Oreochromis niloticus: one gene and its partner. Each later gene encodes a partner of the first gene's protein in a complex. Links are inferred from orthologs where the notes say so. Each region holds a gene or a part of one and is shown on either strand. Other genes may lie near its edges.

What was found. The genes of interacting proteins can lie anywhere in the genome.
Region 2: sybl1 (region 1) and bet1l share a complex: the UniProt entries of both Homo sapiens proteins name them as parts of the SNARE complex. The link is inferred for Oreochromis niloticus from reciprocal best matches to the Homo sapiens genes VAMP7 and BET1L.

Annotation. Positions count from the first base shown.
Region 1 is NC_031966.2:31,862,677-31,866,436, reverse strand, and holds the start of sybl1 (vesicle-associated membrane protein 7), read right to left. Parts: upstream 2,768-3,760; 5' UTR 2,752-2,767; intron 2,487-2,751; coding exon of another isoform or gene 2,448-2,486; exon of another isoform or gene 2,370-2,447; intron 1,927-2,369; exon of another isoform or gene 1,738-1,926; intron 1,369-1,737; exon of another isoform or gene 1,327-1,368; 5' UTR 1,294-1,326; coding exon 1,148-1,293; intron 955-1,147; coding exon 897-954; intron 627-896; coding exon 489-626; intron 347-488; coding exon 256-346; intron 1-255. Other genes in the region: polr1d (DNA-directed RNA polymerases I and III subunit RPAC2), read left to right, coding at 3,294-3,386. UniProt on the Homo sapiens protein: Involved in the targeting and/or fusion of transport vesicles to their target membrane during transport of proteins from the early endosome to the lysosome. Required for heterotypic fusion of late endosomes with lysosomes and homotypic lysosomal fusion.
Region 2 is NC_031972.2:40,860,766-40,864,525, reverse strand, and holds the start of bet1l (BET1-like protein), read right to left. Parts: upstream 2,974-3,760; 5' UTR 2,868-2,973; coding exon 2,849-2,867; intron 2,166-2,848; coding exon 2,080-2,165; intron 894-2,079; coding exon 837-893; intron 438-836; coding exon 270-437; 3' UTR 1-269. UniProt on the Homo sapiens protein: Vesicle SNARE required for targeting and fusion of retrograde transport vesicles with the Golgi complex. Required for the integrity of the Golgi complex.

The DNA of each region.
Region 1 (3,760 bases):
GTGAATACACATAATACAATACATATGAGTAATTCACTAAACACAGCACATCATGCATTGTAAGTGAGGTGGTCGCTCATGATACAACACTGCACTCATTTAAGGGCGAAAGTCACACCACACACCAGTCACACATTACAGGTTTTATCTAACTTGGTTTATTAGAGTTTAAGTTAAGGTTTTTCCATCTCAGAGCCTTGTTTATTTATTTATTTATGAATAAATACAAAATGAGGAAATTGAAGAGACGCTCACCTATGTTGCGGACCATGATGCCCTTCAGGTCGTCCACTTGCATCTGAGTCTCAGTGACACGATCGGGTCCACGTGGATCTGAGTGGTGTTTCTGCAAAGAAAAGGAACACGTCACACTTCTTCACATCTTCTTCTGTTTCCTTTTTTTTCTTTTAAACCACAGAAATATTAAGACATCACAGAGCTGTCACAGGAAACATTGCTTGGTATGTTCAGGCTTTCATCATACACACCATTTGAGCTGCCAGTGTAGAGGAGAACTCGCTGTTCATGGCGTAAGGTAGGGCTGTTTGTGCTCGTGAGCCATATGTTGTCTGGAAACGCTTCTTCACTTCACTGAGGAAGGTGAATGCACGTGACCTCTCAAAGTCCTTTAGAAGATAAGAGTCAAATAGGTTTATAAGAAGTTGCATATAATCAATTGTGGCTGCCTCAAAACCTATCTCATCTTTAGCAACAGCAGTAATGCTAGGTTTTCTACAATAACACAGGACATGTGTCCATTTCCTACAGTGGCTGGGTGGTTTATATTTATTTTTATACTAATTCAGGTTTTTAAAATACATTCATAACATCTACAAATGGCCTACTGCAAATCCAAACCCCTGACAAAAATATATGACTGTCAAATATATACTTACGTCATCCGTGATGCACAGGTATATGATTCTGTCATGGCAGATGTAATGAAACAGATAGCTAGAAATAAAGCAGAAGGGTTAATCGTTAGATGAGAGGTGTTTTATACAGTAGGGCTGTTTTTCCTACAGTTTTTACAAGGAATGAACTCTGTGGTACTTTATCACATGACACCGCCGTAGGCACAGTCACAAACAGGATGTAAACTGCCAACTGGAGATGACACAGGCCGCACACACGCACACGCCCTTACCTGCCATGGCTGTATGTCAGTTTGTTGTTCTCTGAGGGAATTTTAGCTAAAATCTGCTCAGTAACTTCCAGGAAGTTACCCCCACACCATGCATGCTTGGCAAGAATAGTGGTTCCTCGAGCCACCACAGCAAACAGGATTGCCATGGCAACAGCTGGGTTTTCACCTTTATTACCTCCCTGGAGGTAGAAGGACAAGGAAGGCGAGTTGTTACTGCTGGGCTGGGGGGTAAACCCAAACGATAATGATTAGGGAAGAATAATTCTTGTGAAACAGCCAAAAATAGTTACAGATAACAGGAAGAAGGAAATAAAATGACATGTGAATAGGTGTAACTAAGAAATCCAATTACTGCCATTAGTACGCCCTAGGAAAATGCCCAATCATGAGCAGGCTGTCATGCTAGAGTAAAATGCCAGCTAATACTAGATGAACCAAAATTTGGGAAACAACAAGATAGCTAACACTGTTGTTGACCATTAAACGTACATATCAGCGTCAGAAAGGTAGTTAGCCGCTTGACGCCATGTTGGTTGTTTTTAGCTACCGAGCTAACGTACGTAATAGTCACATAACATCATATTCATTACCTGGATGTCTCAACGACGATTAAAGTGGCTCATTTAGCGCAAATTCCCACATTTAAAGACGTTTCAGCTGCTAGTTGGCTAATCCCTTTCGAGTGACTTCTGCCTGCTAAGCAAATCGTCCAGACCGGAAACACGTTCAAGCGCGTGCCGGGGAGTGTAGTTCGTACCGCATTTCTGGCTCTATGTACTTAACGTCGTTGTTTCCCTTTTGGAACTACATTTTTCTTTTTACCCCCAGTTACATATTACGTAGTTCCATCGTCACGTCTTCGTATAAACGACTTGTTATAGAAGGGGCGCGAATTTCGCCCTGTTAGAGTCTTCCAGGCGACTTGAACGCTAGATAACGCTTTCCCCTGCAGATAGAGATGTGACAAAACTTACCATTGTTAATTGCTCAACAGGTTAGCTTTTATTGAAATAAATATTTATCAGGTAAATATTAAAAATATTAAAAATATTAAAAATATAATATTTGTCAAACGACGCGTTTGACAAATATTCTACCAACCACAGAGCTGCGTCACTTTAAATGAAAATTATTATCTGATAATTTGATAGTGTATGGCTACAATCATACATATGTTACCAAAACATTGAGGTAAATTTCAGTCGTATTGAACTTTCCTTTGCCTGTCAAACCAGATTCAGGGCTAAAGAGCACAGTACTTAACCTTACTCTGTTGACGGATGCGGTGGGAAAGTGAAGCATGGCCGGGGAAGGAGAAAAGAAAGCAGTACTAGAAATGGTAAAAAGCGAAAATCGTGTGTGGTTTGATGGTGTGCGCGGTTGGATGGGTTCGTCTTTATTTTTTCTAGATCGGATTGATTAACCAAAAAAGCGAATGGCAGCGATTTGACCGCCTGTGCGCTCCTCACGTGGGTAGCTACAGTGGCTAGCAGTAAATAAACTTAACCGGCGTTAATCTAACTTAAGTATACGCTAAAATCTGTCTTTTTGAAGCATTACCAGCACCGGAGACAAACAGTAATTTGGAACATGAGGGTACCTACTTGTTTAATTTAGATGCGGATTTTTCTCAGTCCACGGGTACCTAACAGTATCTCCAGTAGGGGGCAGTAGTTAAACAGTGTTCATATCCTATGAAGATAAACGCCATAAGTATTTGGAAAGTGATGCATTTTTCTGAATTTTCCTACCTCAGATGATGTGAAATAAAGATACCAATTAAAAATGAAATATGAAGCTTCAGGTTTAATTCAAGTGGGTTTAAAAGTATTGCTTTAACTACCTTGGAAGGGGATACTATGATAAGAGGGGAAGGACCTCATCATCTTTTGAGCATGGTGAAGACAGTGTTGTTGCATGGGCATGTGTGGATGCCGGTATAACTGGATCATTGGTTTTTATTGATGATGTGAGTGCTGATAGAAGGAGCAGGATGAACTGTGAAGCGTACAGGGAGTACTCTCTGCTCAGATTCAGCCAAAGTGCTTTAGAACTGATAAGACGGTGCTTTCCAGTGCCATAACCCAAAACACAGACAGAAAGGAATCCAAGAGTTTCCTAAAGCAAAGACATGAAATGTTCCTGAATGGTCAAATCAGAGCTCAGCCCAGCAGAGCATGGTTTTCAGTTACTGATGAAGACAAAACTGAAAGCAGAGAGGGCCACAAACAAACAGCAGGTAAAGACGAACGCAGTGAAGGCCTGCATGCCTTCGCAGCTGTAAAAGTGTGGGTTGTCGTATAAAAATGGCTGCAATTCTTTGATGGTTTTCCATAAAGAAAACAAAAACTTGAAAATAATGAAGTTAGTGTTTGTACATTTAAAAAAAGACTCCTAAGAGCTAAAAAGTTCAGGCTTCATATTACTCTAAACAACAAACTATTGTTTCTCCTGTTGAGAGTGGATATCCCTAACATGGACAAGTCAGGCACTTTAAATAAGCTCTAGCTGCTCCAGTGCAGATCTTCACTTTGTGAATGGTGGCCAATCAGATGAAGGCTGGCCTAAAAGAAGGAGGAACGGGGGTAAAATTGTGTGTTGTAGATGTTTGAT
Region 2 (3,760 bases), on another chromosome or scaffold:
ACCAAATCAGGACTTGCTGCTGCAGGATGGGACGTACTCCGTGCCAACTCAAAGATCCCAAAGTTCAGGCTTCTCATTGATATGACCACGCCCACTACAGTTTCCTCCGGTGGGCTGACTGACACCCCCAACTGGTCAAACCAATTTTGCCTACGTCGTTCTTTCTTTCTTTGGTGCACAATAAAAAAAGTCTTTATTTAAATCAGTTTTGACATTACAGTCTAAAGTCTCAGCTCCATATCAGAGCCTGGTTGATCTTGTTTTCTCAGTCATTGGTGGATCTTGGATACCAGGTAGTAAAGAACAAAGAAGACCAGGACCAGCCCCATGGAGACGTAACACAGGATACGGCGGTTGTCTCGTCCTGATCGGACCATGGTGGAGAAACGCTTCACGCTGCCAGTGAGCAGGCCTGTCGCACTCATGAAGTTTGAGTCCTAAAAGAAAGATGAGATAATTCTTTAATAACTGACAATAAATTAACCTAAGAGAAAAAATAAAACAGCCGACAGTATTAATTTGTACTTATATAATGTGCACTCTGTTTACCAAATGTATCAATCCACACAGATTCTGACAATCAACACAGTGCTCATTTTTTATACTGGGACTCTATAAAATTTTTCCTGAATGTTAGGTCCCAGTGAAACCTGTGGATCGATGGTCAAACACTTCACTAAACAGTTCAGAGGAGCTGTCGTGAAAATAGAACAGGGTGAAAATCAGTGAATATTTAAAACAATATTCTGTTTATAGACAAATGGGAGAAATTAAAATGTCAGTTCTTTTTTACTAAAAGATTAACTATAATTGTGTTTAAGGCAGGAAATGCTCACCATGCCATCCAGGTACTCATTCTGATCGTCCACATCTCTGTCGATGTCGTAAGCCAACTGCGAGATACAGAGACAAGAAGATGATCAAGTTAGTTGTAGAAGTCTGACTGCGGCAGACCAGCAAACTGTCAAAACGTTTCCTTTTATGGAGGCCATCTCACTTTCACCCGGGTGCTACTTACTCTCTTAATTCCAATGACATATGTTCTTGCTCACCTGAGGCTGAATTTGAACCATTTGGAAACCTGTAAGGACTATTATTTTTTATTTTAGATTATTTTGATCATGTCCTAAAATGTGGAATCTTGTGCAAAAATGTACTAATAAGCAATCATTTGTAACAAGTGAAGTTTTACATCATCTCAGGGTTAGATTACAGGCAGAAGAAAGAACATGAGAGCAGATTCTGAAAAGCGAATTGCACAGCAGAGGAAAATGTAGAACAGGAAAGCAAACATCTTCTTGGTTACCCGTTATCCTTTTAGGCTGTTGCTCTGTCACTTAGTACCTAACCAGCTTAAGTGCAGATTGGAAGATGTCCAACTAAACAGGACGTTGTAGGGATTTAAAACACAACTCTTTGCTAAAAACAGACACGAGTCATTTGTCAAAGTCTGTGAACATGCATAAAATATTTTCTGGATCCCCAAAGAGGTTTTAATCAGGGACAATGTCTACAAGATTTAAACCAATTATGAGTCATTTATTTAAGCAAAATAGAAATTTTGAATCAGTCTAAAGAAATAACAGTAATCTTTATAGATGTATGGTAGACAGACTAATTGCCTTGACTCTATGTAAACAAGTTGTTTTCATTAGTGTACAGTGAATACCCAGAGGATTGTTCTGAACCAGGAAGAGCCTGAAGCTTGGTGTAAGAAAATCTTAATATCATGTAACTATGTAGAAGTGCCTGATGGTGTCCCATCTTACACTGGAGGCACTGGTTGTACAATTTTCACATTTCCACAATACTGTACATTTATTAATAAAAGACAACCATTACACCAGTGATGCATTTGGTTACAGCTAAAATTCTTACAAGCAATCAGCCATGTATCAGTACATTAAATAACAAAACTGGTTGTGTTTGGGATAATTAATAATTCTGATTCCTGGAACTGACAGCTTTAGTTATAATTAAAACTGAGTACATTTGACAGCAGTAACCTAATAACTACAGACCAGCTGATTTATTAATCAGACTGGTAGCTGAAGGGGACGGTTGTTGGTTGTTACGCACAGATTTCAGTCTGGAGACTTTGTTGGCCAGGTTCTCTGCCAGCCGTTTGTTTTCAGCATCGAGCACATCATCCACAGAGCCATGGCCTGGACAAGCACAAACACCGTGGATTAGATATGACACACAAGATCTGAATGTTCCTTGAATTGTTATGTTTCTGTTGAAAACCGCAGATAGACCTCAGAAGATACAGTTTTTGCCATGCACATAGTTCTGAACACATAACTTGTTAAAGAATATATAATGTTTCTAATTTTCGGTTTAAATCAACAGGAAGCAACACTTTTTCATCAATGACTTTGATATCAGCATGATCGGAGTGTGGTGCAGAGTCTCTGCTGAAGGGATGTTCTTTATATATCCAGCCCTTTAAGCTAAGCACGGAATAACGACGTGAAGTAAACTTACAACACTGCCAAGGAGTATTCGTTCTCCCATATTTGGGAAACTAATAAGATAATAATGATAATAATAATACTAATGATAATAATATCACTTTTTATCACCCTTCAGAGAGGCAGATGCTTCTTTAGTGGGCGAAAGCAACTGATATGAAACTTACAAGGTAGCCTTGCTTTTTGCTAATCTTTAAGTATGTCAGAGCTAGTTAGCCTATAAACTCAGCTCTTGAGATTTGGGTATTATACGAGCAAACGATACTCAAAAATAACATTTTAAAATGTACCACCCAGCTGTAATATCATCTCTAAGCTGACACAAATAACACACAACTGAATATTTGGAAGTGAATACGTGTCAAAACATTTACCTCTGTTCCACTCCGCCATGTTGCTTGTTGGTGAATGACGTCACGATCAGCTGTTCACGTGGCAGACACGTGATCGCCTTTCTTCTTCGTCGACAGCGTTAAGGTGTCATTAGCTTCAGTGACGACAGAAGACTCCAAAATAGTTCTCGCCTTGTTTCCGTTAATGCATTACACTAGCTGAGTACTGATGCCTTAACATAGACTTTAAGCATATACCACACAAAAAGGGGAATAAATGAAGAGTGGAAGAACAAACAACAACAACGCCGACGACAACAATAACATCAACAATAATAACTTTATTTGTGTACCACTTTTTAAAGAACACTGGTTTTAGACACCACACACCATCCGGTCAGACGTCCATTCTAACATACATATTTAACTTACACACAAATAGATGCAAGCTAAGGTCCGAATAATGGGGAAATCATTAAGAGAACACTAAAATATATATAACAAATGTTTTCGGCAGTTGTTTAAAACAAATTACGGATTCAGCTGATCAGGTAAGAACAGGTAAAATGTGACCATAATGCTGAAGGTTATTACAAAGTTTGGGCACTATTGCCTCAAAAACGTGATCGTCTCTGATTTTAAAGTAAAAGCGTGGGACATTTAGCAGACTTTGACCAGGTGATCTGCAACGATAGGGTCTCAGTAGCTCCGATAATATAAGCAGGGCCATCCTCATGTGGATGTTTAAGTGTTACAATTATGAAGTGATATCTGCAGAAGTGCCTATTTCATCCACAAGAGGTCGCTCTTTCTGTCCTGCTCAGGGTAGTTACTTTAAAATTCTACTACTTGTGTCTCACACTATCTGTGTTCCATTTACAAAACGTAGATGTTTGCAATATAAACATGATCAAAACTACATCCAAACAAAGAAAATATTAATGTATTTTAACT